3 linked regions of the Elephas maximus indicus genome follow. The protein of the gene in region 1 interacts with the protein of each later gene in a pairwise test. Links are inferred from orthologs where the notes say so. Each region holds a gene or a part of one and is shown in the gene's direction. Other genes may lie near its edges. The genes, in order: BAG4, ALG13 and UNKL.

The links.
Region 2: the proteins of BAG4 (region 1) and ALG13 interact in binary tests that used the Homo sapiens proteins (3 or more experiments, as listed by UniProt). The link is inferred for Elephas maximus indicus from reciprocal best matches to the Homo sapiens genes BAG4 and ALG13.
Region 3: the proteins of BAG4 (region 1) and UNKL interact in binary tests that used the Homo sapiens proteins (3 or more experiments, as listed by UniProt). The link is inferred for Elephas maximus indicus from reciprocal best matches to the Homo sapiens genes BAG4 and UNKL.

Annotation. Positions count from the first base shown.
Region 1 is NC_064840.1:62,579,104-62,589,299, reverse strand, and holds the start of BAG4 (BAG family molecular chaperone regulator 4), read left to right. Parts: upstream 1-5,079; 5' UTR 5,080-5,113; coding exon 5,114-5,383; intron 5,384-10,196. Other genes in the region: U6 snRNA-associated Sm-like protein LSm1, read right to left, coding at 381-449, 4,526-4,571. UniProt on the Homo sapiens protein: Inhibits the chaperone activity of HSP70/HSC70 by promoting substrate release. Prevents constitutive TNFRSF1A signaling. Negative regulator of PRKN translocation to damaged mitochondria.
Region 2 is NC_064846.1:45,772,038-45,782,523, reverse strand, and holds the start of ALG13 (putative bifunctional UDP-N-acetylglucosamine transferase and deubiquitinase ALG13), read left to right. Parts: upstream 1-5,895; 5' UTR 5,896-7,118; exon of another isoform or gene 7,119-10,486. UniProt on the Homo sapiens protein: Catalytic subunit of the UDP-N-acetylglucosamine transferase complex that operates in the biosynthetic pathway of dolichol-linked oligosaccharides, the glycan precursors employed in protein asparagine (N)-glycosylation.
Region 3 is NC_064830.1:58,557,198-58,568,274, reverse strand, and holds the start of UNKL (putative E3 ubiquitin-protein ligase UNKL), read left to right. Parts: upstream 1-6,156; 5' UTR 6,157-6,158; coding exon 6,159-6,235; intron 6,236-7,091; coding exon 7,092-7,301; intron 7,302-11,077. UniProt on the Homo sapiens protein: May participate in a protein complex showing an E3 ligase activity regulated by RAC1. Ubiquitination is directed towards itself and possibly other substrates, such as SMARCD2/BAF60b. Intrinsic E3 ligase activity has not been proven.

The DNA of each region.
Region 1 (10,196 bases):
GGACAGGGAGGGATTACCTTCAGTGCAGCAACTGCTACGAAGTTGCACCCAAGCCAATCTACAAATGAGCCTTTTTCAGTGGACTGAGCTCATTTCTATCATTTTGCTCCCTCTAGTGGGAGAATAAAAAAATAGTCCAAAACATTGCAATCCCATATTCCGGTGAAAACCAGTTTCAGAACCACAAGCTTTCTGAACCACCTATTCGTAATTTAGAAAACAATGATGTATTGATTCAAAGTCATGTTCCATTATGCCAGACAGGGGAAGAAGCTACAGATAAATTTCAACATGAGGCCACACACACACACATAAAATGCAATGGGCAGCGATTATTATCCAGAGTACAAGAGAAGGGCAAGTCCGTAAGTGATACATACCAAATTGATCAATGCTTCTTAAAAAGCCTATAAGTGTCCTTCCATCTCGAAGCAGGACCAAGTGCTTTTCTGGGAAAAGAAAAAGATCTTTAGAACGAAACTGTTAGCTTCAGTGAGTTTACAAGGAAGCAGCAGAAATAAAGTTAATAGCAGTTTTGTAGCTGCAGGAGTTTATTTGAGAAGTGAAGGGAGGACCGAGATCGCCTGGGATTTAGGTTACAAGATCAGTGGTGACAAAAATCAGTGCAGTAAAGAAATGTGAAGGACCAGGCTGGCTCTACGCCCTGATGTTTGACACTGGAACCCTCTCAGTGTCAGTTTCTTTTCTCTTAAATTGAGCATTAGGTGAATGTTTACAGAGCAAATTCGTTTCCCATTCGATAGTTTGTACGTCCAATGTTTCATGACCTTGGTTTCACTCCTCACAACGTGTGGGCACTCTCCCCTTTCTCCATTTCCACGCTGGGTTCCCCATTTTCTTTCGACCTGATTTCCTACCCCTTCCTGCCTTCTCATCTTTGCTTTTGGGCAGATAATGCTCTTTTGATCTCATATAATTGATCCTTCTAGGGAGTATGTTCCTCTTGGGTGTTGTTTATCTTATGTGCTTGTCTATTGTTTGGCTGGGAGGTGGTCTCTGGGAATGGCTTCATTCCAGGTTGGAAGGGTGTCTTAGGGCTCAGTGTCAGCTTCTACATTTGCAAATTGAGAAATTTAGTCTACATGATCTTAAATCTAGAATTATTTTCCCCTCAATTTAAAAGATGAGTTTCTATCGCACACTTTGGGATTAGGGAAGGTTGTAAATAAAACCAGTGTCTAGATATTCAAAATAAAGACTCTGAGAACAAGCTGGAACAGAAACTCAATAATATTTATTGAGAGCTATGTACTTTTTCAGCAGAGAATAAGACTCAAAGTTATCAACCGTATGAATTTTTATTTCTGATGGGGAAAGACAAGAAAATTATCTATTGTGATTAGTACAATGAAATAATAAAGACAGCAGGATGGTATGATGAAGGGAGAGGGGAAGTAGCTACATAAGAAAAGCTGGTGAGAGAATAGTTCTCTGAAGAGGGGGTTCTGAGTCGACATCTGAACAATGAGAAGAAGCCAGTCACTAGAAATGTCAGCAATTCATTTCTCTAATGCCATGCATAAAATACTTTCTAGAAGCAGAACAGAGGAACAAGATAGTGGTTCTGCCCTGAAGGGATTTACAGCCTTCCTTGGGCTGTAACTAAGTACCATAAGAACGCAATTTTTAATTACATGAGACTTCAGAGAAAGAAATATATCTAGCTGGAGGAGGTGTCTGAGTGGGATCCTGAAAGGTAGACGGTTTTGGGGCACGGAAAGAGTGATGGGGAAAGATAAAGGGAGGGAAATCTGTAAATGAGACAGAAGAAAAAAAGGCGGAAAGTTGAGAGTGTGAAGAGAAGTAACAGTGGATGAAGTCAGAAAGGGGCCAGGCTGAGTTTGGACTTTATTTCATAGGGAACAAGAAAACACTGAAGACTGATCAGGCAGAAAAAGGAGAGCAGTTAGGAGGCTATTTCCAGATTATACCTGAGGCATGAAGAACAGAGCTGAATCATGGTACAGAAGAGAACAGAAAGGATGAAAAGGCTAACACTGTGCAGGCAGAAGTGATGGGATTTGTCAACTCATTGAGTTTGTGCGTGTGGATACGTGTGAGTGGTGGGGCAGTAAAGTAAAGAAGCGAGTTAAAGAAGATGTGAGTTTTGAGTCATTATGTCTAGGAGGGTTATTTACCAAAAGTTGGGAATAAAAAGATCAACCTTAGGAAGGAAGGTTATTACCTGTTTGTGATTCTGAAGTGCTATCAGGACATCTAGGTAGAAAAATCAGCAGGCAGTTGGAAATGAAGGACTGGAATGCCAAAGAGGTCAGAATTAGAGCAATTTTGGACAAATCCACAATGAGGTGATTTAATTATTATAGTCCAGGTCTCCTAGATATTTAAAGAAAGAAGCAGACCAAAGATGAAATCTAAGAGACTACCTATTTTAGGGAATAGGAGAAGTTTGAAGGGTAAAAAAATCAGCAAGTATCACTGTCAAAGAAGTCAAGAAATAGAATTAAGAATGTAGTGGTGACAGTAAACAATGCTGCGGTGAGGAAGAGAATTCAGAAGTGTGCATTAGAGCTGTTGATTGATGACTTTTAAGAATGCATCTTCAGTACAGTGGTGATGACCAAAAACAAACTAACACAACAGACTGCAGGGGTAACAGAGGTGGTCTATCAACAAAAAAACCCCCAAACAAACCCATTGTTGTTGAGTCAATTCCAACTCACAGTGACCCTATAGGACAGAGTAGAACTGTTTCCAAGGCTGTAATCTTTACATAGCTCTCTCCCGCAGAGGAACTGGTGGGTCTGAACCACCCACCTTTGGGTTTGCAGCCAAGCACTTGACCACTATGCCACCAGGGCTCCTTGTGGTCTATCACAGATGGTCAGAAAGCAGAGTTAAAACAGAGATGACTAAAGAAGTTTGGGGGTGAAGATGTGAAAAAAAGGATGGGAGTCTGATGGGGAGACACAGCTGAGAAAAATGTCTGAGCATGGACAGACAAGAACACAGCCGAAGGGAAGGATCCAGGAGGAAAGAGAGATAGAAGAGAAAAAAGGATATTAATGGAACAAGGGTCCAGAAGCAGTGGGAGGAGAGAGAAAATATATGCACACACAGAACAAAAGGAATACTACCTACTCAAACAAGTGGATGGGTGCAGATACAGAAAGACTGAGGATAGGGGAAGAAAATGTGTGTGTGGGGGTAGGGGGTGGGATGCATATCAAATAGCTTCAAACTTCTAGGTAAAGAAGGAGTCCTGATATGATTAATATAATTGATGTCACTAAATTGTATGGCATGGGGCCGCTACAAGTGAACACAACCACCACCACAACAACAAATTGTACATGTGAAAAATGTTAAATTGGCCAAAAAAAAAAAAAAAAGAGAAGGGGACATGGAATCTACATATAGGTAGCGGTTAGAGACCTGAGAATAAACATGATTTTTAGTAAAATGGTGGGATGTGTCAGGGACCTCAGATAATTTAGATTTATAACACGGGAGGCGTGGGGAAAAAGGACATCCTCAGATAACTAAAATCATTACACATTACAGACAGACTTGCACAGTTGTTCATTTATGGATTTGGTCCAATTTACATTTCCTTTTGATAGCAAAATAAATAATTTGGACTTAAAAAATGATCACAGAGAATTTAATCATAGACTCACTCTAACTGGCATACTCTCAGCTACCGACATCAAGAGAGATTGCTGCAATTTGTCTGGAGCTGTTTGCAAACCACTTTGCAGCAATTACACGTTAATGAGACAAATCACACAATTAAAACGATAAAACATGTTGCTTGAGGAATAATCCACAGAGAACAGTTTAGAAAAAAGAAAGACAGGACAGCTGTTAAGTAGGTCCTCTTGCTTTTGTACAGGCCTGAGCTCCCCTTCAGGGTAGTAAATAGGAAGAAGGGAGGTGTCAGTAAAAGTAGAAGAAAATTGTCTAATAGAAAAAAAAAAGTTTGAAGTGACTCAGTCTTTCCAAAAATGTCAATACGATGTCTGCCACTGGTCTCTACTATCATAAACTTAAAGTGCTTAACACCTTCATGGTAAATGAAGATTGCAAGGATACATCAGAATAAAGCCTCCGTTTAATTGCCAATTAAGTGCAACTGGTGTTTCTTAATGGGTCCGTTCTCTAAGTATTCTTAGCCATCCTTCGGTAACCTGGTACAGTACTTCGTGATATTCCAGGTGGGAGACAGTGGGCGGGGAAGAAGTCTGCTGGGACACTTTCGTGTTCGGGCCTCGGCTGCTCCGTCCCTCCAAGTAGGAGTGAATTCCACAGTTCGGGGACTGGCGGAGGTTGCGGGGGGGCAGAATTAAGGTAGTAGGGCGTGTGGGGTGTCATGCGATGTGTACCTTGGCTGTAGAGAATGTCAACGCGGAACACCCACAAGTGAGTTCAAAACAAACGGTCCCCTGCCCTGGACTCACTCTACAATCTCCTTCCAAAAACGCGCCCACCCGGGAGGAAGGGTCTCATCCCAGACTTCACCGTGAGAAGATGAACTACTCACTATCGATGTCCTCGATGAGGCTGGCGGTGCCAGGCATATAGTTCATTTTGAGTTGAGATAAGGTTGTAATGTACAGCGGCAACGGGCCAGCGAGTCCAACACCGCCCTTCTCCTACTGCAGCCGCCGCCTTGGCGGGACCGGGACAGGAACCCGTCCCCGGACCGCACTCCCGCCCCGGCTTTCAGCCGCCGGGGCCTGCCGGAAACGCCTCCATATTACCACGCCCACTTCCGGCATCACGCGCCCGTCCTCAGGAAGGGGCGGGGCCGTTGTGTGGTCCCAGGACATCCTTTCCCCGTCCCTGATGAAGAGGGGAAGAGGAGTCTAGATTGGATAAAACGTGGGAAAATATATTCTCCCTTGTGAGAAACATAGTGCCTCCCCTCACTTTTCTGCTTCCAAGACACCAGAGTCGCGGACCTATGTCCCTCAACTCTCAGACCGGGCAGTAGGAGGGGCGGGACCGGGCCTGGGATTGGCTGTTGTCGTCCTACCCCCTTCACTGCTCTCCATTCCCCTTCGCTTTCAGGCGCCTGCGCAGTGGGCCGGCCGTGGGGGGCGGGAAGCGCTTCGGGGCAGTGGAGCCCATGTCGGCCCTGAGGCGCACGGGCTACGGCCCCAGTGACGGTCCGCCTTATGGCCGCTACTACGGGCCTGGGGGTGGAGATGTGCCCGTGCACCCACCTCCGCCCTTATATCCCCCTCGCTCTGAACCTCCCCAGCCTCCCATTTCCTGGCGGGTGCGCGGGGGCGGCCCGACTGAGACCACCTGGCAGGTAGAAGTCGGAGGAGGCGATGGCTACTATCCCTCTGGGGGCGCCTGGCCGGAGCCGGGTCGAACTGCAGGAAGCCCCCAGGTAAGCTTTGTATCTGCCTCTGGGGGTCCGGTAGGAGGGTCTTTGGGGGTGAGGGCTCTTGGAGTTGATGTATCTCCGGGGTTCGTTAATGGATCGTTTTATTTTCCTTTTGGGGGATTGGAGAGACGGAGACTGGGGCCATCGGTGGGAGGGATGTGCTTGTGTTGTTTGATCCTCCTTTTCTGTTTCGACCATAATAAATGTAGCTATTACCAATGAAAAGGAAAAACGGTCTTGCCCTGCCTGCCAAGGGGTATGTCGCCTGGGATTGCATTGGGCTGGAGTGACCCGGCTCTGCACTAACAATTTATCCTGCGTGGCTCGGCAAGCCGGTCTTAGGAAGGGAAGTGGCTGCAGCCCCCGCTGTCACTCAGCAGCCCCTCCCGTGAGGAAGGACGTGAAAGAGAAGGAGGGATCTAGGCATTTAGCCCTTTGCCCTCTTGCTTTGCCCGGGATTGAATCACGAATAATCAGTATTGTAAAGCATCTTTACGTGGATTGTTTTATTTAATCTTCATGGCAACTGCGAGGTAAATGTCATTACAGCATCCCTGTTTAACGAACAAGGAACAGGAAGCGCTGAGAGGCTAACTCACTTGCTTAAGATACTCCGTGTTCTGCTGAAAATATACTTCTGTTTTGTTAATGCATTATTCTCAGTAGAGGATTGTCGCTATATTGTGATGGCACACTTCTCTTTTCCTTCAAGTGGTTATAACGTTCTCAGTTGATGAAAATGTGGTAGTGAAATCCTCATATTGCTGGTGGGAATGTAAAATGGTGCAGTCTCTTGGAAGACAGTTTGGCAGTGCCTCAAAAAATTAAATATAGAATTACCATATCACCCAGCAACTCCATTCCTAGGTATGTACCTCAAAGAAATGAAAACACATAGCCATACAAAAACTTGCTCAGGAGTGTTCACAGCAGCATATTCGTGATAGCCCAAGGGTGTAAATAACCCGAATGTCTATCAGCGGATGAATGGATAAACACAATATGATATATTCCTACAATGGAATATTATTCAGCCATAAAAAGGAAGATATGTGCCACGACATGGGTGAACCTTGAAAACATTCTAAGTGAACGGAGCCAGACAAAAAGGACCACATATTGTGTGATTCCATTTATATGAAATGACCAAATCCAGAGAGACAGAAAGATTAGTGGTTGCTAAGGGCTGGAGGGACGGTTGTATGGAGAATAATCGATAATGGGTACTAGGCTTTTTTAGGGGCGGGGTGGGGTGGTGTAGGGCAGGATGGGTGGGTATGAAAATGTTCTAAAGTTAGATACTGGTGATGGTTGCACAACTCTAGCCGGAAACCATTAAATTGTGCACATTAAAAGATCGATTTTATGGTATGTGAATATATAGCAATAAAAAAAATTGCGTGAGAGAAAACATGCAGTGAAGGTTTACTGTGAAGAAAAGTCCATATTTTCTCTGCCTAAATCTGGATAATTAGACTGTGGGAGTTTTATCCCGTTGTAGAATGATAAAATGCTTAACTAAAAACCAGACCAAAGATCTTTTGAAGGTAAAGAGGAGAGGACCACTGAACTGAGGACTTCGTACTGGGCTTGCTGTATCATACAAAAGTCTGTTTTCTGCTTGTAGGGTTAGGAAAGTGTTGGATAGACTAGGGAAGTTAAGATTTTAGCATTGTGTGGGGAATTGTCAGGTAGGGTCAGAGTACCTGCACAGAAGGTAGGAAATGGTGCTGGAGTAGTTGGAGATAAAGCTGGAAATGTGTAATGGGCATTTATAAGCCATTAAAAAAGTTTGGACTTTACCTTTCAGGTTGATAATTCTGAAACTTTCAAAGTACAGGAGAGTAATTTGTTACAAAGGAATAGAATACAAAAGATATGGGTGTTGTCACAGGTGTTGCAAATGTTTTTCCCCCAGTTTGTTTGCTTTTTCTACATTTTTATACAGTGAAACCTGTAAGAGCGGAAACTTAATGGGACTGCCTTGTTTTTCCGGGTCTCACAGGTTTTCTGCTGTTGACAGAGTGCAGTCTTACCACTTTTCTATTGCTTGTTTTAGTGGAAAATATTTGCGTTTTCCATCTCTGACAGGCCTCTGCCTTACACAGGTTTCGGCTTTTGGAAAGTTTTACCGTACAATATAATCAAATCTGTCAAACTATTAAAAAAAAAAAAAAAGTGTAGGAACCGTTGAAAAGCTTGGCACTCAGGAAGTACAGTCCATGCACCAGAAGCGTCAGTAGCACGCCTGCTCCAGGTTTACGGAATCAGCATCTGCATTTTGGTAGAACCTCCAGGTGACTCATACGTGTTAACATCTGAGCAGCTTTGCTCTAGAGAACTTAATATATTGAGACAGTGTTGCACTGAACCACAACAAAGACGTGACTCTGTATTAATATACTCGAATATGGCAGGGAAAAAATGGGAAGTCTCTCTCCCTGTTTTTTTGTTTTCGTTTTTTAAAGAAATAAACTTTTTTTCTTTACCCGATTAGCTATACTTACCTAAACTAACTGCATCTACATCACCTAAAAGCTTGTTGGAAATGCTGTATCTCAGGCCTGGTCCCAGACCTACTGAATCAGAAAGTACAATTTAAAAAGATCCCAAAGTGATTCATATGTATAGAAAAGTTTGGGAAGCTCAGTTGTGTGTGTATTTTTTTTTATAGAATTTTTTTTTTTTTTAAAAAGAGCAGTTTTAGGTTTACAGAAAAATGATGCAGAGAGTACCGAGTTTGCATGTGCCCCCTCCCCCTGCACATCATTTCTCCTGTTAACATCTTGCATTCCTGAGGTCTGTTTGTTACACGTGATGAATCAATGTCAGTATCAATACATTATTACCTAAAGTCCGTGTTGTTATTAGCTGCCTTTGAGTCAGTCCCCCCAGCTTAAGGCAAGCTCATGTACAAACACTGCCCAGTGCTGCGCCATCCCCATGATCAGTTGTGGATTGGAAAGTTTGGCTGATTTTTGGAAGTGGATTGCCAGGTCTTTCTTCCTAGTCTTAGTCTGGAAGCTCCACAGAAACCTGTTCAGCATCATAGCCTCCACTGACAGACAGGTGATGACTACGTATGAGATGCATTGGTTGAGATTTGAACCCAGGTCTCCTGCGTGGAAGGCAAGAATTCGACCCCTGAAGCACTGCTTCCGTATAGTTTACATTAAAACCAGTTGCCACTGAGCTGACACCAGACTCATGGCAACCCCATGTGTGTCATAGTAGAACTGTGTTCCACAGGGTTTTTAATGGCTGGTTTTTGGGAGGTAGATCACCAGCCCTTTCTTCTGTAGTGCTCAGGGTGTACTTGAACCTCCAGCCTTTCGGTTAGCAGCTGAGCACGTTAACCATTTGCACTGCTCAAACCAATAAAACCAAACCATTTGCCATTGAGTCAGTTCTGACTCATAGCCACCCCGAGTGTGTCAGAGTAGAACTGTGCTCCATAGAATTTTCAGTGGCTGATTTTTTGGAAGTAGATTGTCAGGCCTTTCTTTCAAGGTGCCTCTCAGAGGATTCAAGCCACCAACTGATTGGTTAGTAGCAGAGCACTTACCCATTTGCACCTCCCAGGGACTCCTAAAATCAGGTGTCATTGAGTTTATTGTGACTCATGGTGACTCTATGCATGTTCACTTTTTGGGTTGTGTGGTTCTTTGGGTCTTCAACAATGCTTACTATCGTGTCCGCAATTATAGTACTATACTGAATGGTTTCGCTGCCCTAAAAAGGCCCTACAATCCAACTCTTTATCCCTCCCTCTCTCCCTGACTTCCTGGCAACTACTAATGTTTTCACTGTCTTTATAATTTTGCTTTTTCCAGAATGTGATATAGCTGGAGTCATATAGTATGCAGCTTTTTCAGACTGGCTTTTCTGACTTAGCAATATGCATCTAACGTTCCTCCTTGTTTTTTCACGGCTTGATAGTTCTGTTCTTTTTATCACTATATAATACTTCACTGTATGAATGTATTACGTTCATTTATCCTTTCACTTTCCGACGGACATCTTGGCTGCTTCAAGTTTTTGGCAATTATGAGTAAGGCTGGTATAAACATTCGTGCAAGTTTTTATGTGGACTTAAGTTTTCATTGCATTTGTGTAATTACCTCTGAGTGAGATTGCTGGATTGAATGCTCGAACTGTGTTTAGCTTTCTGGAAGCACTGTTTTTTTAAAAATGGAATCTTACTAAGAACCTCAATATATATAAAACAAAATAGTGTTTAATATAAATTCGTAAAATACTTCTAAATTTATTTTTTAGTATCTAATGTTGATTAGAGAGTCCAGTGAGGCTATTTTGGGAAGTAAAATAAAATTAAAACTAGAGTAAAAAAGAAACCAGTTTTTTTTTTGTTGTTGTTTTTTCTATATGAAGAAAATATTGATTCCCAGGGATTACTTGAAAAAAATAAAAGTTTTCTTAATAGCTCTACCTAATGATCTCTGCACACTTGAATTTAATTGGAAGCTTAGGAAGAGTAAAGTAGGAAAGTTTCATTTTAAATTGAATCCCTAATCTAAGAGCTACTTGTAGTTATGATCACAACTATAAAAATCACACAAGAAGCAACTGTGCTGGGTTGAGTAGTGTTCCCCCCAAAATTCATATCCACCTGGATCCTCAGAATGTGACCTTATTTGGAAATAGGGTCTGTGTAGTATAATCAATTAAGATGAGGTCAGAGGGGATTAGAGTGGCCGTAAATCCAATGACTGGTGTCCCTATAAGAAGGCCATGTGATGATGGAGGCAGAGATTGGAGTGACACAACTACAAGCCAAGGAATGCCAAGGGTTACC
Region 2 (10,486 bases), on another chromosome or scaffold:
GCGGCGGCTTCGCAAGCTTCGCTTTGCTGGCCTCTCGCTTTCACAAGCCTTACTTGTAGCCTCGCTAACCTTCCCAGCTAGCAGCGCTGCTAGAGAAAAAGCTTCACCTCAGGTGCCGCTGCCCGTTTTTTGGCCCCCCTCCGCCTCCCTCTTCCCGCTTCCCCGCCCAGCTTCTCAGAGCCCTTCCCCCGCGCCTTCTTTCTCAGGCTCCTCCCCTCCTGTCACAAGCTTCCCCCCTCCGATTCTCCGGCCCCGCCCCTTCTGCCCACGGCTCCGCCCCTCGGACTTGAGGCGCTCGCCTGCCCGCCCCCTCGCCGCTCCCCCTGTGCCTCCCAGACCTAGCGGTGGGCGCCAGCTCCTCGTTCCCCCCCTCGCCGCCTTCCTGGCGCCTGTCTGGCCTCGCCCCGCCCTCGCCCCTGCCGGAGCCGAGCTTTTCCCGCTCCTCAGAGGACGACCGGCTCCTGAGCGGGTCCTCTCCTCAGGCGGCCGCTTCTCTCAGCCAACCAAGTCTGTGAGGCGAACGAACTGGTTGCTTAATTCCCGCCCCACTTGACGCTTTTTCCTAAGTCTTTGCCTGCTGTCGTATCTCTCCGGGACCGGTTTATTTCACCACTTGGTGAGCTGGGTCGCGTGCATTCATTAGGGCTACTGAAGCACCTTGTCAGGTCCAGGTCAAAGGATTCTTGAGGAAAACCACCTGAATCCCGTTAGAATATTTGGCAGCTCGTGCTCAAGTCTGCACACTGACTTTAGGGTTTGCGGTTGTTACTGTTGTTTTCACAGTAGCCTGATTAAAGGGTCGCTTTTTTTCCTCCCCCGTTTTAGATAATCAAGAGTCTTGGGTACAGCCGACTTGTCCTACAGATTGGTAGAGGCACCGTGGTACCTGAACCATTCAGTACTGAGTCATTTACTCTGGATGTTTACAACTACAAGGATTCATTAAAAGAAGACCTTCAGAAAGCAGATCTTGTTGTTAGTCACGCAGGTAAAGTGCCTTGGAATCTCGGTTCGATTTTTGATAGGCAATAAAGAATTTGAACCTTGAGGTAAAAATCACTGCACTAACTTAACTGTAGCCCCTTTGAATCTAATGATTATTTGAGTTATTTAAATATAACAATTGGGAACTTTATTGGAGAAAATTTACTTTTTCTGAGTGAGAGAAGATAAGTCGGAATGGACTCAACGCAACTGGGTTTTTTTTTTTTTTTTTTTTGTTAACCCAGCCTTAGAAACCCTAAACACAGGCAGAAGGATTTATCCAATAACAGTCTTGAGATTAGTATTCGGCTTTATATCTGCTGGGGTCCAATTGAAGAAATGTGTTGGATTGATCTGAGAAATTGGTTTTGAAAGATTTTTTACATTTCTACTAAATGTGAGTGTGAAATGAATGCGGTCAAGAACATTCTTTAATAACCATCATTGTCTGCTCTTCAGAAAACAATGCGGGTTGTCTAGTAATCAGACTGTCAGTACCTTAAGAAGTTTTTGGCGGGTATTGTGATTGTGACTGCTGGATACATGAGTGAGGAGTTTATTTATTCTTAAAAAGTCTAAATGGTTTGAGGAGAGAAAAGCCATTAGAAATAGACATTACAGACAGATTGGCCATTAAAAATGTGTAGGATAATAGCTAACAGCTTTTGGTACCGTTCTTTGAGCTTTGTGTGAATTAACTCCTTTCATCCTCCCAAACAATCCTATGAATTTAAGTACTATTAGTATCTATTTTTCAAATGAAGACGCTGAGGCAGAGAGGTTAAATAACTTGTCCAGCCAGTAAGTGATGGACAGACTTTTAACAGTCTGGTGTTGGAGTCTGTGTTCTTAACTACTACCCTTGTATACTGTCTAAAATAGTCTGTCTAAAAAGGATTTATCTACTTATCAGTCTGCTCTCTCCCATTTGAGATATCTAAAGAATTTAGGAAACCCTGGTGGTATAGTGGTTAAGAGCTACAGTTGCTAACCAAAAGGTTGGCAGTTTAAATCCACCAGGCACTCCTTGGAAACCCTATGGGGCAGTTCTACTCTGTCTTATAGGGTCACTATGAGTTGAATCAACTTGACAGCAACGGGTTTATTTATTTATTTAAAGGATTTTGGATTTCAAAGTTGGATTGTCCTAATGTTGTATATGTGCACATTCATTGAGATCTGTTCTCCACTATTTTGGGGATGCTACTTAACAGGGTCACTATGAGTTGGAATTGATTTAATGGCAATGGGTTTGTTTGGTATTTTTTTTTCTGGTTGACCTAACAGACTCAAGGAGTAGTCAGGGTTTTTCTTTATTGGTGCGAGTGGCACCAGTGGTTACTGTTCTACAGGGCTCTAGGTCTCTACTAAACTAAAGGTTGGCGATTCAAAAGACCCCACCGAGTGGTGCACGGGGGAAGCCTGGCAATCTGCTTCTATAAAGATTAGAGCCAAAAAAACTTTGTGGAGCAGTTCTACTATATAATCCATGGGGTCACCATGACTTGGAATCCGCTTGAGGACAAGGGTCCTCCCCTCCCACTACTGAAGGCTCGATTTGATGGCAATGGGTTTGGGTTTTTTTTGTTGTTGTTTGTTTTGAGTGGAAACGTCACTTAAAGTATGTTGAACCTGGATCTTAACTGGATTCAAGGCTATTCCCAGGGCATTTGACTAGAGGGCAAGTGACAAAGCACTGAATCATAGGCCATAATATTGTCGGAGATGATAAAGTAATGTATTTTTAAAGTCGCTTCTTAGAGAGCAATTGATAACTACTTTTCTCATTTTAAATAGGTAATTGAAAGGCCTGATTTGTGGTTCTGCCAATTAACTTTTGAGTTGTAGCTATAAAGAATGGTGGAGCACCTTAAAGGAACACTGGTGGCACAGTGGTTAAAGCCTTCGGCTGCCAACCAAAAGATCAGAGGTTCGAACCCACCAGCTGCTCCATGGAGAAAGATGTGACAATCTGCTTCTGTAAAGATTTGCACCCTTGGAAGCCCTGTGGGGACACTGTGAATCAGAATCAACTCAGTGGTAGTGGGGGTTTAGTTTGGAGTGCCTTTTTTTTAAAACTATATTAACAAATTTTGATATATTTTTGTAGGTGCAGGAAGCTGTTTGGAGACTCTGGAAAAGGGAAAGCCACTTGTAGTTGTCATAAATGAAAAGTTGATGAACAATCATCAGCTGGAATTGGCAAAGCAGCTACACAAAGAGGGGCATCTCTTCTACTGTACCTGCAGGTATACTATAGACTGATTGTTTAACTGACCTTGTCTTAATTCTTTCCTAGCTGTTTTTATAGCCTTACTCACTTGCCTGCCTGTCTCTTCTGCCTCTTACCTTCTTCCACCTATCAAACGTACTTTGATTTTCTCACCTATAAAACCCTCTCATTTATTTTCTACTTTGACTGGTTTGTGTGTTGTACTTCTTTGTGTATCTGTGGCTCTTTCTTTGTATATGATAATCCGAATGTGTGTGTGTGTGTGTGCATAGGTGCATGTTCATCTGGGTGCATAAATCTCTGGGAATACAACTTTTTTGTTCTTTATTTAGACTTTTTTTTCAAGGAAAGCATTTATTTTTAATGAGGATTTTGCCTTCAGCACATCCACTGGAATCCCTACACATTTATTTATTCAGTTACACTTAAGTATGTACCAGGCACTGTTTTAGGTGCTGAGGGTGCAGTGGGAAACAAGAGACAAAGTTCCTGATCACATTCTAATGATGGGAGATAAACAGTGAACAAGTTCACAAGTAATAAATGATCAAGAGGATTTCATATGATGAAATGTGCTATGAAGAAAGTAAGGATGATATGATAGCTGAGGTGAAGACTAGATAGGATGATCAGGGAAGGCATGACTAGGTACATGACATTTGAGCGAGACCTGAATGACAAGGAAGAGTCAGTCATGTGATGCTCTGGAAGCAAAGGGAACAGCAGTTAAAAAGGCCCTGAGGTAGGAATGAGTTTGAAGTGTTTGAGGAATAGAGGGAAGGTTCATGTGATAGGTTCATAGTGAGCAAGGGAGAGTGTAGTACCAGATGATGCTGGGCGGGGGTAGCTTATATAAGAGTTCTGATTTTATTCTATGTTCAGTGAGAAGCCATTGGAGCATTTTAAGCAGAGGAATTACTTTATGGTAAGGAGTACTATTTTCTAGAAGTATACTAAAATTCAAGAAGAACTGATCAACATCACAGTAGAAGGATGAAGAAAACTGCTGGCTTGTTTTCTAGTAGGCTTCCCTTAAGACACCAGAAGCTTGCAAAAAGGTCAGGTCAGTAATTCCCAGTTGTTTGACTTTAAAACCTATCCTAATTTCATATTTCAAAAAATAAATACTTTATGAAAGTATTAGAAAAAAATATATTTTATGTTATAACCCAAAACCCAGTGCCGTTGAGTCGATTCTGACTCATAGTGACCCTATAGGACAGGGTAGAACTGCCCCACGTTTTATGTTATAGTAAATTGAAATTAATTTTAAAATATAAAATAAACTAGAAGAAACTGGCTAGAATGTAAGAAGCTTTTTTAATTTTACTGCTTCTATCTCAGGCACTCAGTAAATTATTTATTAAATATGTGTCAGGTACTGTTGTAGGCACTTGGTATGCATCAGTGAACAAACCAAAAGACCCCCATTCTCATTGATGGGAGACAGACTCATTGATTGTTTCAAGAATAATTGTTGGTCCTCATCCTGGTAGTGATGAAGGAGAAGGAATGTCAGGGTGGCTTTGTAATATAGAAGCCAGCCTTAAAGTATTGTGAGTCGGAAGGAACTTAGTTAAAATTATTTAGGCTTCCAATAGTGGGCATATCTGTCTGCCCTTAGGTAGTTGAGATTGTTAGGGGTTAACATTATTTTTTAAAGGAATACACTCTCATCTTCTTAATTGGTTTATGCAGATCAATTTTTCCCGAGACTTTTGATGAGTATTTTCATTCTAGATGTTAAATTAGCTTTGATTTTATGTCAGTACATTAAAAACAGTAAAACAGTGATTTCATAAACACATCCTGACATTTTACTCAGGCTGAAAAGGAAGCTAGCTGTACAAGTCTCCAATTTATTCTATTTTTGCAGTTTAAAAGTCTTATATTCAAGAAAGTCACATACATGAAAGCAGTAAGAATTTCAATAATTGGTTGTGTTTTCCTTTCAGGTAAATCATTTTCCCAAAATCTAGGCTGGGTGGTTGTATGTCTGTACTAATTTAAGTGACTGGCTTAATGAAATTTCTGATGTGTTAGTTTTATGTTGCAGTTTAGAACCTTTCCAACATGCATGGTGATCACGTATTGCTTAATTATATATGGATTTATGATAGTAAATTACCAGCAGAAAAAGTTATTTCACAATTGTCAGGGATGACCTAATAGTCTCCCCAGCTTATCTTTCTTACCTGGCTGCTATTACTTTTGGCTTCATTTATTCCTTTTTCATAAATTAATTGTGCTTCAATTTTTTTGTGCCTAGTCCTAAGTAGTATTACAAAGCCATGTGAATACATCTTTCATGAAATAACATTTCTGAAATAGTTGATACAAAAGATAAATTATTGAATTAATATTGGCATTATGTACTATTTTGCTTTAGTAATCTTTTCTAAGTGTGAATACTTATATTATTAAAATACATTTAAAATTCATTTGTACAGTTTGGAAAGCAGCGCTGTATTCTTGGAAGTTAGAGTCAGTCATCAAGTGGGCAGCAGGTGAATTATGGAATTTTCTCCCATGTTACTTAATATTTTTCTTCTTTTGTTTTAGCACGCTTCCTGGGCTGTTACAGTCAATGGACTTATCAACACTGAAATGTTTTCCTCCTGGCCAGCCAGAAAAATTTTCTGCATTTTTGGATAAAGTTGTTGGATTACAAAAATAAACACTAAACTCTCAACGCTTTAAAAACACCCCCAAATCCAACGTATGGGATGTGATTAAATCAAATATATAATACGTATTTGCAGAGTAATATCAGTTAATAAACTACATCTATAGAATGCTTAGAAAACTTTATGGTATGAACATTTGCATTTGGGTCCAAATCCTATTTGCAATTTAGTAAACTTGCTAGATTTTCCCTAATCTTCATTCATATTTTAGTAAAACACGTAGTGGGCATTCACAATTTTTATCCTAGAATCACACATGCGTTTGGAATCATTAAAAAAAACATGAGATTTGAAAACTTCTTAAGATGAAGTGTTTTGGCAAGAACTATACATGTAGTCAGTTTGCTGTCTCTTAGACTAGAAAATGAAACAGTAACACTTTTAAAAAATATCTTTGTATGAGGGTCAGCATTTTTAGATTCATAATCCAAGGAACCAAATTCCAAAAAAAAAAAAAGACAAGCAAAAATGATACATTGTACTCTGTGAAATAAAAAGCTCAATAATTGCCTAAAAAAAGATTAACTATGAAGGCAGTTTTTCTGTTGTACTTGGAGAAACTACTTTCATCCCAAAGAATAGAGTGGAGTGGATATGTTCACTTTTTTTCTCTGAAATAGCAAAATAATCTTGCCCAATGTCAACGCTTTACTACTTTGAGAAGAAATCAAAAAGGACTTCTACCAGTAGGGTTTACTGTTACTTTTTAAGGACTGCCCCCCACATTGGTACTGGAACATTACTGTAACATATAGAAATTTACAATTTATATGCTCTTTGAATTAGTTACAAATAAGAAATGATCTGATGTGGATAATGACTTAAAGATGTGGTTTTAAAGTTTACAGGATAACTTGAGATAGGTACATTATGGAATTCTTTCTAATTAAAGTAAGTGGTCTCAAGACCTTTAAAATACACGAGATTACTCCTAAGTGTCCATAGTTCTCTGGTAGAAAGTTTATCTGAAAAAACAGAACATTTATGAGGAGGACCTACATTCCATTATATTATCCCAATATGTTGAATGTTTGAAACATTTTAACTTGGGATGCTTTATATAAGGTTTGTAGATTTATTTTCCCAATTGTGTTTTACTTAGGCTAATATTAAAATACGTTCTTACTAAGCGTAGAAGGTGGTGGCTAAGAAGTGCTCTGGGTAGCAAGAGGAAGCCAACTTGGATTAAAATTTTGCTGAGAATAATCTAAAAAGTGAGTAATCTATACATAGTTGAGAATTCACAGTGCCATAATCATTGCATATTAACCTAGATTTCATTATTTCATTTCGTGGAGAGTTAAGCCAATGGTGTCAATTGTGTAACATTTCTGACTACACCTTTGTGAAATTTTATATCACTTGTGGGGTTCTAAATCAAAGGATACTTTAGAATCATTTTGAGTTGGCAGGGATCCTCAAGATTATGTAGTCCAATTCCATTGTTTTTAAATGAGGAAAGAGGCCAGAAGTTATGACTTGCCCAAAATAACAGCTTTTGGCAGAGATGGCATTAGAAACAATTCCTTTACTCCTAGTCCTGTGCTCTTTTTACCATACTATAATATACATACATTTTTTGGTTCTTTATAATTGTTTGCCTAATATTTGGTTACACTGATCCCTTCCAAGGATGGTTTTGTTTATTTTCAGAAGTTGTTCAATTCACTTCACTTACTTTGTTTTCCTTTGGTTTATGACGACCCATTCTCTACCTTACCTAGGACATAGAGTCAGACTTAGAAATCTGTGATTCCTTAGTTGTTTGGAGTCTGTCACAATGCTGTGGGTTGATACTTAGATTGAACGAATAAAGACTAAGACAAGGAATTGTAGAATTTTGGAGCTGGAAGAAAATTTAAAGAACATCTAGGCCGAACCACTCAGATGAGGAAACAGGCTAAGAAATTAATGGCCAATTTCACATCTAATTTAGTCCTTATGAGAAAAAAATGGTAATCAAAATTCTGTTTAAAAGATTTGCTCAATAAAGTTAAATGTTTGGTTTTATTACATGGCTGATAACAGCTTCAAACCAAACCAAACCCAGTGCCGTTGAGTCGATTCTGACTCAGCAACCCTATAGGACAGAGTAGAACTGTCCTGTAGAGTTTCCAAGGAGCACCTGGCAGATTTGAACTGCTGACCCTTTGGTTAGCAGCTGTAGCACTTAACCACTATGCCACCACAGCTTCAGGTTCTTTTAAATCAGTAAGTGGAATGCAGTTTATTTAGCAGTTTTCTATTAGAGGATAAGGAAGCAAAAGAGGGTTTAGTATTTTGGGAAATTCACATTGTGGATAGGTTCAGGGATGGACAGATAATAAGGTAATAATAGTAGAAAGTTTATAGTGGTGGAGTAGGTGAAAAGTGAGGTCGTAGGATGACCTTGTGAGGTGAGCATTTTGGATGACAGCGTGCTTATAATTTGAAAGGGAAGACAATAAGAGCTGGAAGGAATTGATGGTAAAATAGCATATCCAATAAACTTGATGTGAGGCTTGGGAACATTTAAAAGTAGTCATGTCTAAAAGTATTGTCAAGTATGATTTATAGACACTTTAGAATGCTAATTTGTATGCTTTTAAAGGCAGATTATACAGAGGACAATAAAAAATGTTCTGTACCACTTTCTTGATTGATAGTTTTAGGAAGAGTTTTCCAAGACTAAAAAGTCACAAGTGACTAGCAGTAATACCGGTAACTTTTCTTGGCCTTTTATTATGCTTTGTGGGAGAAAGATGTGGCAGTCTGCTTCCGTAATGATATACAGCCTTGGAACCCCTATGGGGCAGTTCTGCTTTGTCCTGTAAGGTTGCTGTGAGTCTGAATCCACTTGACAGCAATGGGTTTGGTTGGGGTTATTATGGTATAAGCACCTATGTAATCCCTGTTATTTATTCATAATATTAAATTTCCAGAGATGATAAAAAATCTACATATAGTTTGAGAAGTGAAATATCTGGACAGATTATTTGAAGTCAGTTTTTGGAGAAAATTCAAATGGGTGGTCATGATAGCCATGTGGTGATCAGTTTTCTGCTCTACAACTAGTACCGCTAATTTCACAAGGTGGAGGGAATGAAAAATAACAATTGCAGTTCACACTTGAGCACTTAGTATGTATCAGGTACCAGTCAAAGCATTTTACATGAATTAATCTCTATGAAATAGTCTTGTCCAATTTCGCAATTGAGGAAAGTCAACTCAGGACATCATCTGAAAAAGGACTTTTATGTCACTTAAAGATCCAAGGTATGGTCTGGGAGTTGTAATTGGAACACTGAAATCTAGGATATTTTAATCATTTATGGAACAGTAGGATAGAATATTTGAAGTAGGACTATCCCAAGAAATTCAGATTGTATGACAGCCACAGGTACATAATCCATTTTAGCTTTTACATTGCTATTTAAAAGCAAACTGGTTGCTACTCAAAGAATCCATGTGGAAAAACTGCCAGTTGCAAGTTATTTATTGGCTCTTGTTTTCTTCTTGAATATTTGTGTTCTACGGTTCTCTTTTTGATCCTTTTTATATATTATTTCTTGGTATTTTCATTTCCAGAGCTGCTACTACTGATGGCTCCCCTGCCTGTATCTCTTAACTCTGATTTGAGGTGACTGGTATTTCCAGTTGCCTCTTGGTCATGTTGGAGCTCTGGTGGTGCAGTGATTAAGAACTACAGCAGCTAATCAAATAGTCAGCAGTTTGAATCCACCAGCTGCTCCTTGGAAACCCTATGGGGCAGTTCTGCTCTGTCCTATAGGGTTGCTATGAGTTGAAATCGACTTGACGGCAACAGTTTTTTTGGTCATGTATGTCTGTGTATTCTGTAAGCACCTCAAACTTAATGTGCCTCAAACCTAAATCATATTTTTCCTTTTCATCCTTTTTTAATTCCAATTTCAATTAATGGTGTCACCATCTAGTCAGTCCTCCAGGCTTTAACTCTTATATCTCTTACCCTTTTTATCTATCTGATCAATCACCAGATGCTGTCATGTTTACTTCCTAAATTTCTGAAGCCCATTTATTTAGTCATTCATTTAATCTTCCAACATAAATGCATAATGAAAATCTACTTTTGTATCAGAAGAACTCAAGACATGTTCCTGCCTTGGAGGATCTCTTACAGTCTAGATGGGGAGGAACTACGTCTTACTCATTCTTGAGTCCTCTACTGAAACAGTAGGTTTTCCATAAATGATGAATACACTTTTATAACTGATGTATCTTTTCTAATGATCTTGATTAGGATTAGGATTAGACACACAGTCTCATGTGTCTACTTGATCCAAGAAGCCCGTTCTTCACCAGTATCGTTTTCCATCCCATATTCCAGTCCAATCCCTATCTGAAGAGTTGGCCCTGGGAGTGGTTCCTGTCTTGGGATAACAGAGGGTCTGGGGACAATGATGTCTGGGGTACCTCTAGACTCAGACCATTAAGTCTGGTCTTTTTACGAGAATTTGAGGTCTGCATCCCACTGCTCTCCTGCTCCCTCAGGGGTTCTCTGTTGTGTTCCCTGTCAGGGCAGTCATCGGTTGTACCCGGGCACCATCTAGTTCCGGTCTCAGGC
Region 3 (11,077 bases), on another chromosome or scaffold:
CTCCTTGACTGCGCCTGTGTGGCGAGCGGAGGTGGGTCCTTCCCTTTGGCCTGGCGAGGGCAGAGGGTTCACATAGGCCCACCCGCCGGCTCTCACGGAATGCTGCGTGGGAGTAAGGCCTGGGTCTCCGCCATTGCAAAACTTCCTCCAAACATCAGCCCCTGACGCCCCGGAGGCGGGGAGGGCAGGGATGTTCGGGCGGGGTCCGCGTGATGGAACCAGAACCTCCCCGAGGCGAGCTCATCCCTCCTCTGCCCCCTCCCTCCAGCCTGGCCCCGCGTCGCTGCCCGAGGACCCGGCGAGATAGTTCCGCTTCGGGCCGAACCGGGAACTACATTTCCCGGCATACACTCGCGGATCCCCGGAGATGGGGCCTGCGGCGGAAGAGAGATCTGAAAGCTTTATGTCATTTCCTGTGCGCGACTGGGCCCACGTTTTGCGGTCGTGAGTGGAAGCCTGAAGCGACGTCAGGTTTCCGGTTTCGCGCGACGGAAGTCGCGAAGCGAGGAGTCGAGGTCGCAATGAGCTGTGTAGTGTTTGAGCCGGCGCCTGGGTAAGCTCTGCGCGGTTTCGGCGGGGCCAAGGGCGGGAGCCGGTGGGAGGACTGGCGGAGCGCTCACTGCTCTCTCTCTTCCAGGGTCGCCCGGGCGCTGAGGTTTGTGCGCTGGGTTTCCCAAAGCCCGCACCCGCCGTCCAGTGGCCGGGCACGGGCCCAGCCGGTGGCCAAGGGGGAGGAAGAGGACGACTTTAACCGGCCTATCCAGTTTTCCTCCAGCAAAGCCAACCCGCCCCGCTGGACGGTAGAGCATTCCCTGGGAAGGGTACAGCAGCGGGCTTGGTGGAAAGTGCTGCCCCTGAGTATCTCCTTCCTCGCTCTGTTCGTCTGGTGTTTTCTGAGGCAGGAGAGCAGCTCGGACGAGTGTTCGACTGGTGTGCTGGGAGAAGAGACAGAGCCCAGTGATCGCTCCTAGGAGCCTGTTACTGGCAACTGGGAGAGAACTTAACGGAGTGCCCCCTGGGGCTTCCGGGAAGGCAGCAGGCACTGTCCTTCGGCTTTGATGTCGCGTTTGACCTTTTCTGCCCTGGGTATGCGTCCGTCCCCAGCACTGAAGGGCTTGATGAATGGCGCACTGAAGGCAGGGTAGTCTCAGCAGATGGAAACCTGTGCCTTGCCTAGTACTTGATGCCTAGTAAATCAGTCCAAGAGACGTTTCAGACGCAGAGGAAAGGTTTTGTTTCCAGTGTGTGGTGTTAGATTTGCGATGTCTTCTGTGAAACATGTCCCTAAAGACACTTGTAATGCAGTGTTACTTTTCAGGTCATCTGGCTTCTGAGTCACAATAACCGGCGGAAGTGTTACATTTTTGAGCTCATAACATACTAAGGTGTGTGTAAATAACATCTATTGATCTTTTACACACTTAACAAATTGAAAATAAATTTGGTGGCATGAAATCAAGACAATTCCTTTTCTTTCTTTTTCTTGCACTTTATTACAAAACGGAGGGCAAGGAGAGCAGGTTAGCAGGCCAACAGCCATGTTTTTCTATGTCTTTTTTTTTTTTTCCCTAGTGTAGGAACTGAGAAAAGAAACAGAAATGTAAATTGTGGAATGCACTATCTGATGATGCCAGAAATGACAAATTTTCTCAGCTTTCTGCAAAACTTTATTTTTAGCAAGGCAACACTTTTCTGAGTAGAATAAACCAGTTAGTCAATTCTTTTGACAAATTATGGACACTATTTTGTGTTACCTAAATTGACTTCTTTCTCAAGTGAGTAGTTATTAGAAAAATCAGCTTGATTCTGAAATGCAAGATGCATAAGGGATATTATTACACACTTAGCCTCCCAGTGGAAGGTTTGTCTTAGTGTATCTGTGGTGCTGAAGTTAATTGGAGGCTTCACCAGGGCAGATGGTATGGTAATATACAGGTAGTCTCCAACTTATAATGAGCCACACATAAGGCCGTCTTTTTCATTTTTATTTTTTGGTACTTCTTATAGTCAGTAACATGCACTGCATACAATGTTGCAGCATGTAATTGGTGATGTTATTATTCTCAGATGTTCAAAGGTTGGATTTATAAGGATACTGATGATAAAAGGTGATAATAATGAAGACTAAAAAAAGAGGTATTTAGCTTACATCAGAACCAGCTTAAAACAGTTGCAGAATCCCATCGTTATCAGGGACTACCTGTACTAACTTCTCCTAATGCTTTTGTGCTGAAGTGCTTTCCATGTTTCCTGCACATCCATAAAATTATTTGTGTGAAGGAGGTGGGCCAGTGGAAGCATGTTCATTTTTTTTTAAAGGTGGAGAAACCAAGGTTTGGGAAGATTGACCATCTCAGCTCAGGGAGTATAGTTCCAGCAGGATCAAAGAGTTAAGACTTTTATCTCAGACTTGGAGTGGTTGTGACTGGTTGTGGACCATCTGGTTTGAGCAGCAGTCATTCAAACCCAAGCCCCTGTTTTACTCTCACTAGCTTCTGCAGGGAAACAAAGCAGAATGAATGGGAAGAATTTCTGTTTGAACTGAAAGTTACTATCCTATTATAAAAGTAATATATATTTTATCTGGGAAATCTAGACACTAAAATAAGCAAGAGGAAGAGAATAAGAAACAGCAATAATCCTACCACCAAGAAAACCCTGTTGCCGTTGAGTTGATTCTGACTTATAGCGACCCTATAGGACAGAGTAGAACTGCCCCACAGAGTTTCCAAGGAGTAGCTGGTGGAATTGAACTGCCAACCTTTCGATTAGCAGCCCAGCTCTTAACTACTGTGCCACCAGAGCTCCAAGAGGTAACCACTAAATGCTTCATTGCTTTCATTTCCTGGATTTTTCCATGCATATATAAATACTCAATTTTTAGAGAAGCACAAGTGGGTGAGTAACATTGTTTTTGATGAGACATCACACCACATGCAACAGACCCTGAGTGCCTCCAGGGTAGGTCTCTGAGGGCTTTTCCAATTTATTACTTCACCCCAGAGACATGGATAAGCTTCATTGTCACAGCAACTCAGCAAAAAGAGAACTCAAGGCCAGCTGGCAACAGAGGGCAGACCTGTCTACACCTGGACTTTTCAGTCCTTTCATTAGTTAGCTGTTTTTGTAGTCTGCTGCCTTATTTCCCCAATGGGCCTGTAGATTTTCTATTTCCCTAGCTACTTGGCACATTGATTTTTTCATGTGAGTGCTCAGTTAGCACTTTCAGGGACCAGTGTAAGCATGCTGAAACGGAAGCTGTTGCAGAGATTATTAAAATGATAAATTGTTGGGCAGAAACCCAAAACCCGCTGCCGTCAAGTCGATCCCGACTCATAGCAACTCTGTAGGACAGAGTAGAACTGCCCCATAGAGTTTTCAAGGAGTGCCTGGCGGATTCAAACTGCAGACCTTTTGGTTAGCAGCCGTAGCACTTAACCACTACACCACCAGGGTTTCCTGTTGGGCAGAAGGAGGAGGAAATTGTTAGAAAAGAAAAGAGATTGGGAGAGAATCTTTTTAAAGAAAAGGAAGCTAACTAAATGGTCACTTCTAAACTGATGAGCAGTCTTAGAATACTGGTGGTGCTATGCATTTCCCCCCAAAAGAAAAAACACTTCTAGGTTCACAATGAAAACCCTGGTGTTATATAAGTCTGAGCACTACCCCAGCCTTTTAAGAACTTTCTTCAAAAGCACAAAAATGACCTTTTACATCCGTACAATGTATCACAGTTCTTTCTGACTTCAGGAAAGATACCCAGTGGGTGAGAATAAACAGGGCATCTTCACTCCCACCTCTATAAGAGAACCCCAAATCCCTTCATCTTGAGCTCCCAGCTTCCCCTGGACACAAATACTGGACTGGCCCACAGGTTCCATGAATGCCTTCCAAATTGAAATTCACCTCTCCCAGTCTGTTTCTTCTCCTTTGTTCCATATCTCACTTAATCTCATTACTATCCACCCAGTGCTCTGAGCTTGAGACCCCAGTTAGACCTTTCTTTCTTATTCCTGACATCCTGTCAGTTTTCAAGATCTGTTTATTTCTCTTCCAAAGAATTCACGAGCCCTGTTCCCCTCCCCAATCCATCCTCCTGCTTGATCTCTGAAAATACCACGTTCTTTCTTGATTTTATCCTTTTAATTTCAAGATTTTAACGTAATGTTTGTAGAGGTCATAGTTTGAAATGTGAAGATATGAATAAGTCTTTTGTCCTACCAGCTAGTAATAGTTTTTGCTATTTTACTGTATTCTTTGCATTTAAAAAAATTACATAATTGGGAACAAATATGGAAACTTTATATCTTGCTTTGTTTTTCTTTTTAAATTTATCTTGTTGGTTCTTGTTTTGTTTTTAAGCTAAATGGCATTTTGTGAGTCACTAAAAATTCTTAGGACACATGGTTATTGAACCATGGCATAACCAAAAAAAAAAAAAACAAAAAACCCAAACCCATTGCTGTCAAGTCAATTCCAACTCATAGCGACCCTATAGGACAGTAAAACCGCCCCTTAGAGTTTCCAAGGAGCACCTGATGAATTCAAACTGCCAACCTTTTGGTTAGTAGCTATAGTACTTAATCACTACGCCACCAAGGTTTCTAAAGCCATGGTATAGCATTAGTAATTTAAATATTTTCTGACTACTAGACTGTTGTTGTTAGGTGCCGTTGAGGTGGTTCTGACTCAGCGACCCCATGTACAACACAAAGGAACACTGCCCAATCCAGTGCCATTCTCACCATTGTTGCTGTGTTTGAGCCCCTTGTTGCAGCCACTGTGTCAATCCATCTCCTTGATGGTCTTCCTCTTTTTCACTGACCCTCTACTTTACCAAGCATGATGTCCTTCTGCAAGGACTGGTCCCTCCTGATAACATGTTCAAAGTACGTGAGATGAAGTCTCGACATCCCCACTTCTAAGGACATTCTGGCTATACTTCTTCTAAGAGATTTGTTCGTTCTGGCAGTCCATGGTATATTCAATATTCTTTACCAACCTCATAATTCAAAGGCATCAATTCTTTGGTCTTATTTATTTTCCAATGTTTGTATGCGTATGAAGCAATTGGAAACACCATGGCTTGGGTCAGGTGTATCTTAGTCCTGAAAGTGACATCTTTGCTTTTTAACACTCTAAAGAGATCTTTTTGCAGCAGATTTGCCCAGTGCAAAAAGCTGTTTGATTTCTTAACTGCTACTTCCATGGATTGTTAGTCTAAACTTTTTGCAGCCTAACTCTGTGGCAACTATCTTTAAACATAAATCTTTCAATCTGATTTTTAAAATGTCTCTTATGACACACACTTACAAGATAATGTACTCTAGCCCTGGGTGCCCCCTGACATACACTCTCCTCCTTCTCCTCCAGGGCCTGCCTACAGTGGGGCCATGTGTGTGAGGGCTGTCCAGTGGTGTGATTGCCTGCTTCTCATAGTTCCCACCCTTGGTACATCCCTGCCCCATGCACGTGATTGTCACCCTGTTGGTGACTGTGGTGTCTGTGTCTCCCCCTCAACTCAGCCTCTTGGATTCATTTTTTTTTTAAACAGCTTTATTAACATATAATTCACATACTATTCAATTCGCCCATTTAAAGTGTACTATTTATTCAAAAATATAAAGTAAAAGCACGTTCACAGAGTTGTATAACCATCACCACCATCTCATTTTGGAACATTTCCCCACCCCCTAAAAGAAACCCACACCTATTTGCAGTCACGCCCCATTCCCCTCTCCTGGCCCCCCACTTACTGGCCCTAAGCAGTTGGATTCCATCTTTGTGGCCCCAGCACCTAGGACATCAGTGGGTGTGGGGGCTGCGAACGCGCGTGGCCTGTGCTCTGGGTGGGTGTCCGAAATTGCAGAATGCGTAGGGCAGGAAGGTGGGGGCGATAGCGATGGTCGGGGAAGGGACTGTGGTGGGTAAGAGGGTGAGATTGGCAGTGGGCTTGGGAGAGGCGGTGCTGCCGTGTCGGGGGCGTGCGTAGCCGGTGTGACCGGGAAGCTGTGCGCGCGGGCTCGGCAGGTCTGGGGGCGTGGCGGGGGCGTGGGTCGGTGGGCGGGGGGAGCGGGTGGGTTCCGCGCGGGGGGAGAACCGGAGGGGCGGGGGCGGGCCCGCGCGGCGCATGCGCACTGCATTGTTTTTGCCAGAAAATGCCGTCGGTTTCGAAAGCGGCAGCTGCGGCGCTGAACGGGTCCCCCCCGCAGACAGAGAAACCGACCCACTACAGGTCAGCGCGGCGGCGCCAGTACGTCCGGAACGGCGGGAGGCTGGCGACTCGGCCCCTCAGCTTGCGGCCTGTCGTCGGCCGGTGCGGCCTGCGCCCGCGCTCCCCGCCCCCCCGCCCCCCCCGCCTCCCGCCCCCCCGCCTCCCACCTCCAGCTTCAGGTCGGGGGCGGGGGCGGGGGCGGTGTGGGGGTGGAGGCAGCCATCGGCATTTGTGCTGCGGCCGCCCGAGGTCGGGGGCGGTACCCGGGGTTGGGGGACAGGGAACGCGCTTGAGATTGGGGGGAAGGGGTGGCCATCTGGACTCCGGCTGCCGCCGCTCGGGGTCAGGGGACCGCGCCTGGGGTCGGGGTGGCACCCGGAGTCGGGGATGGGGGTCGCCATCTGGACTCATTGTGCCGCTGCCTGAGGTCGGGGGCGGTGCCTGGAGTTGGGGATCTGGGATCCGCGCCTGGGTTTGGGGGTGGCACCTGGGCCTGGGGGACAGAAAACGTGCTTGGAATTGAGGGGAAGGGGCGGCCATCTGGACTCGGGCTGCCGCCGCCTGGGGTCAGAGGTCCGCGCTTGGGTTCAGGGCTCTGGGATCCGCGCCTCAGGTTGGGATAGGGGAGGCCATCTGGACTTGGGCTGCCGCCGCCTGGGGTGGGATAGCACCTGGGCTGGGGGGCAGGGGCGCGCCTGGGGTAAGCCTAGGGCCTAGGGTGCCGCACTTGGGATGGGGATACCGGGTACCGGGCCTAGGACCTGGGAAGCCAAGCCTGAGTGAGTTCAGAGGTCGGGGCTGGGTCGGGGGTCGCGTCTGGGCTCCCCTGGGGGGGGGGCGCCGCCTGCCGGACCGGCAACGCTGTTTGTCTTTTTAGGTATCTAAAGGAGTTTAGGACAGAGCAGTGCACCCTGTTTTTGCAGCACAAGTGCGCCCAGCACAGGCCATTTACCTGTTTCCATTGGCATTTCCTAAATCAGCGTCGGCGCAGACCACTCCGCAGGCGCGACGGCACCTTCAACTACAGTCCCGACGTGTATTGCCCCAAGTATGACGAGGCCACTGGTGTGTGCCCCGACGGCGACGAGTAAGTGCCTGACAGAGGCCGGAGGCCGGGGGCCAGCGCTGCCAGGTGTGACATTGCCCGCCGTGCCCGTGGCCCCATCAACGGGCTTATAGGAACACTTGTTCGCTCCACCTCCAGGTGCACCTGGGATCTTTCCTTTCTTACTATTTAAAATTTTAATTTTTAAAAAAGGTTGATAGTAAAGAAAGTTGTTTTATCTGCAGATTTAGAGTTTAAGAAACCAAGGCTTGAGTTAGGATTTTTTTTTCTTTACAAACTTCCTAGTGGTGCTGTGAACAAATGTCTTTATTTTGAAGTTTGTAGAATGGGAAAACAGAAAATAAAGGAAGATTGTATATTCACATAATGGGCGGAAATTGGTAGTGGGAAGTTTTACTTTTTTTCTTATGAGATGTTCAAGCAGGGGGAGGGTGCTTCCTTCCTGGCCCATGAGCTTCTAAAATAACAGTTTGCTCAGCTTCTGTTAGGATCAATAGCTGGATTGGGTGGGGCCTTTTTAAATTTTATTTTTAACATAAATATATAGGTACAGAATATCTGCAATTTCATCAGTCTTCACAAGTAGAGTTCAGTGACATTAAACATGTTCATAACGTTCAACCATGGCCATCAACTGTTCTCGAATTTTTCCATCATTGGCTGGGCTCTTGATGGCTAATACCCTGATCCCATGTGGGGCTGGGCGGGTGGGGGAGCTGCTTCTCCAAATGTGTGTTCTGTGAAGAGCTTTTCACACTGTGCAGTTCAGTGGCATCACCATGTTGTGCAGCCATCACCACTCTACATTCAGGGAGTGAACTTCTGATCATGGCGATTGTTTTATAAACTTTAAACACCTACTGAAAGTCTTTTAATTGAGTACTGGAGGGATAGTGTTGTTGGTTAAGGCATTTTGGATCCTAACCTTGAAATCAAGTAGCCAGCCCTGCTTCTGAATTGGAAGTGTTTTTGATTAAGATGGTGTGGGACTTCTATGCAATTTTATAAGTGATATTTTTGATTACATGCTTAGTTGCTTCTTGAGCTGATGCTCTACATACAGGAGTCTTTAGAAGAAATATGTTTGTGTGGTTGAAGCCTGGACTCAGGTCCCTAAAATCCCACTGTCCCTTAGTTGAGCCAGTCTCTCTCTGCATCTTGGGTCCTGAGTCGCCCAGTGGGGACTCCGCTGCCCAGCCCTGGTTCAAGGATTTGGGTCGCAGCAATGCCAAGGCCAGTGACCTGACTTGCCTGGTCCCGTTCTAGCGTTGAGTGTGGGAACTAATGGTAATGTTTTCATGCAGAGAGGAAAGCGTCTTGTAATAGCTGGGTGTCCTGTTTTTGGATCAGCCTCCCTCAACAGGGCACCCATGTCCAGTTTCTAGCGTCTTGGCGGTGCTTTGCAGGCACTGCCGCAGCCCCCTACCCAGGGGTACTCTTTTGAGGTCATTATGTGGAGTGAGTTTATTACTAAATATTAACTTCAATAATAGAAATACACTCTGAATGGCACGTGGGTCCGTCGTTGAGAAACATGGTCAATGGGTCCCCAGTGCTGTGTGACATGTTCTGTTTTGGATGCAGCCTGTGTGCATTGGCATGTTGTGAGAAGGTCATGGGTCTTAACTTTTACTGAGGACATGTAATGACTGTGACAGGCCAGACCTCTCCCCAGGAATCTCTCCTGAGTACATTAACGCTCATTCCACTGAAGAGGGAGAAGGACTTTCCCTTTGCCCCACAAATGTAATGGCCCCAAATTTGTCCTGTTGCATTACTTATTCTGGGTCATGCAGCATTGCTGTGTAATTCATAAATAGATTCTACTTTTCAGAGCAAGGAGGAGGACTTACCTTTTATTTCAGTTCATTCCCCCCCCCCTTTTTTTTAAAATTTTTATTGTGCTTTATTTTTTTTTTTTAAGTGAAAGTTTACAAATCAAGTCAGTCTCTCACACAAAAGCTTATATACACCTTGCTACATACTCCCAGTTGCTCACCCCATAATGAGACAGCTTGCTCCCTCCCTCCACTCTCTCTTTTTGTGTCTGTTTCGCCAACTTCTACACCCTCTACCTTCTCATCTCCCCTCCAGGGAGGAGATGCCAACATAGTTTCAAGTGTCCACCTGATCCAAGAAGTTCGCTCCTCACCAGCATCCCTCTCCAACCCATTGTCCAGTCCAATCCTTGTCTGAAGAATTGACTTTGGGAATGGTTCCTGTCCTGGGGCAACAGAAGGTCTGGGGGCCATGACCACCAGTGTTCCTCTAGTCTCAGTCAGACCGTTAAGTCTGGTCTTTTTATGAGAATTTGGTGTCTGCATCCCACTGCTCTCCTGCTCCCTCAGGGGCTCTCTCTTGCGTTTCCTGTCAGGGCAGTCATTGGTTGTCTGTGTGGCCCTTTCTATTTCTTGGGCTCGTAATTACCTTGTGTCCTTGGTGTTCTTCATTCTCCTTTGATCCAGGTGGGTTGAGACCAATTGATGCATCTTAGATGGCAGCTTGCTAGCGTTTAGGACCCCAAACGCCACTCTCCAAAGTTGGATGCAGGATGTTTTCTTAATAGATTTTATTATGCCAATTGACTTAGATGTCCCCTCATTTGGTTTTGAAATTCCAATTTGGGGCACATGTATTACCCACCTGTTATTTTAAAACATGAATATGTATCAAAGAGCAAGATCGTTCAGCCAGGTTCAGGGGAAATGAGCCAGGAACGTTGTTTTTGGCACAGGCCGGAGGTGCTATGGGACAGGAAGGGGGTGAGTGGGTACCTCTCCTTGACGGTCAATCACCCCATGGTCACCCCAGTCACAGGCTTTCCTGAGCAGGAGGACACCCCTCCCCACCCCACACTACATCCCCTCACTCCCCCTTTGGGCATACCCTCTGTCACCTTGCAGTGGGCCCCTCCATGGTCAACCTCCCCATGGGCACCCCTGCTGTCCTTGCTTTCCTGAGCATGTGGCATCCCCTTTCTTGTTATCTACCCCTCCCTGTGACACCCCCGCTGTTACTTCTTGGTGGGCATCCCCACAGGGGTTACCCCTTTCCTCGGCAGCCAGCTCCCCCATCACCCCATCCTCCATGAGCCCCCCTCCTGGCATAGAAAGTGCCCCCCTTGGTCAGGGAGGATATGCCCCTTCCAGGCACGGGTGAGGATTGGCTGCCCACCTCCCCTGCTGCCCAATAGCCTGAGGGAACCATGGGTTGCCTGGCCGCCTGTACCCCAGGTGCCAGGTACAGGTTCCAATATCCACCCAAGATCGGCAGCCAGGCTGATGCTCTTGGCTGGAACTGGCACTGGGCCACTGGCCCACACCTGTGGACCACACCTCAAAATACTCTTTCCAGAGACCCTGCTTCCAGCCTGGCTTCCCTACTGGCCCTGGCTGGGGTCTCCCTGGTATGGTGTATCCACCATGCTCTCAGGCACATCCCTCCCAACAGTTCCCCAATCCTGCACTCGGGTATCAGAGCCACAGCCTGTCCCAGTGGGTGATGATGGGATGAGCAGGTGATGCCACTTGGGCAGTATTTGTGGTGGTTGTTGACTTTGAGAGAAAACTTTTCAGAGCGTCCATCTCTATCTAAGTGAGGCCTCAGGTTGTTGGTCTGTATCCTGTGTGTTTGGACATCCACTGAGAGGTTCTCTTGCAGGTGGCTGGGGGTTGGGGTAGCCCTGGAAAGCTGGAGGCCAGTGGGCACAGCTGAGCTGGCGGACTTGGCTGACAGAGTGTTCAAAGGCAGAGGGCAGATGTACCATGACACCTTTGGATTTCTCCCCCAGGCTCCAA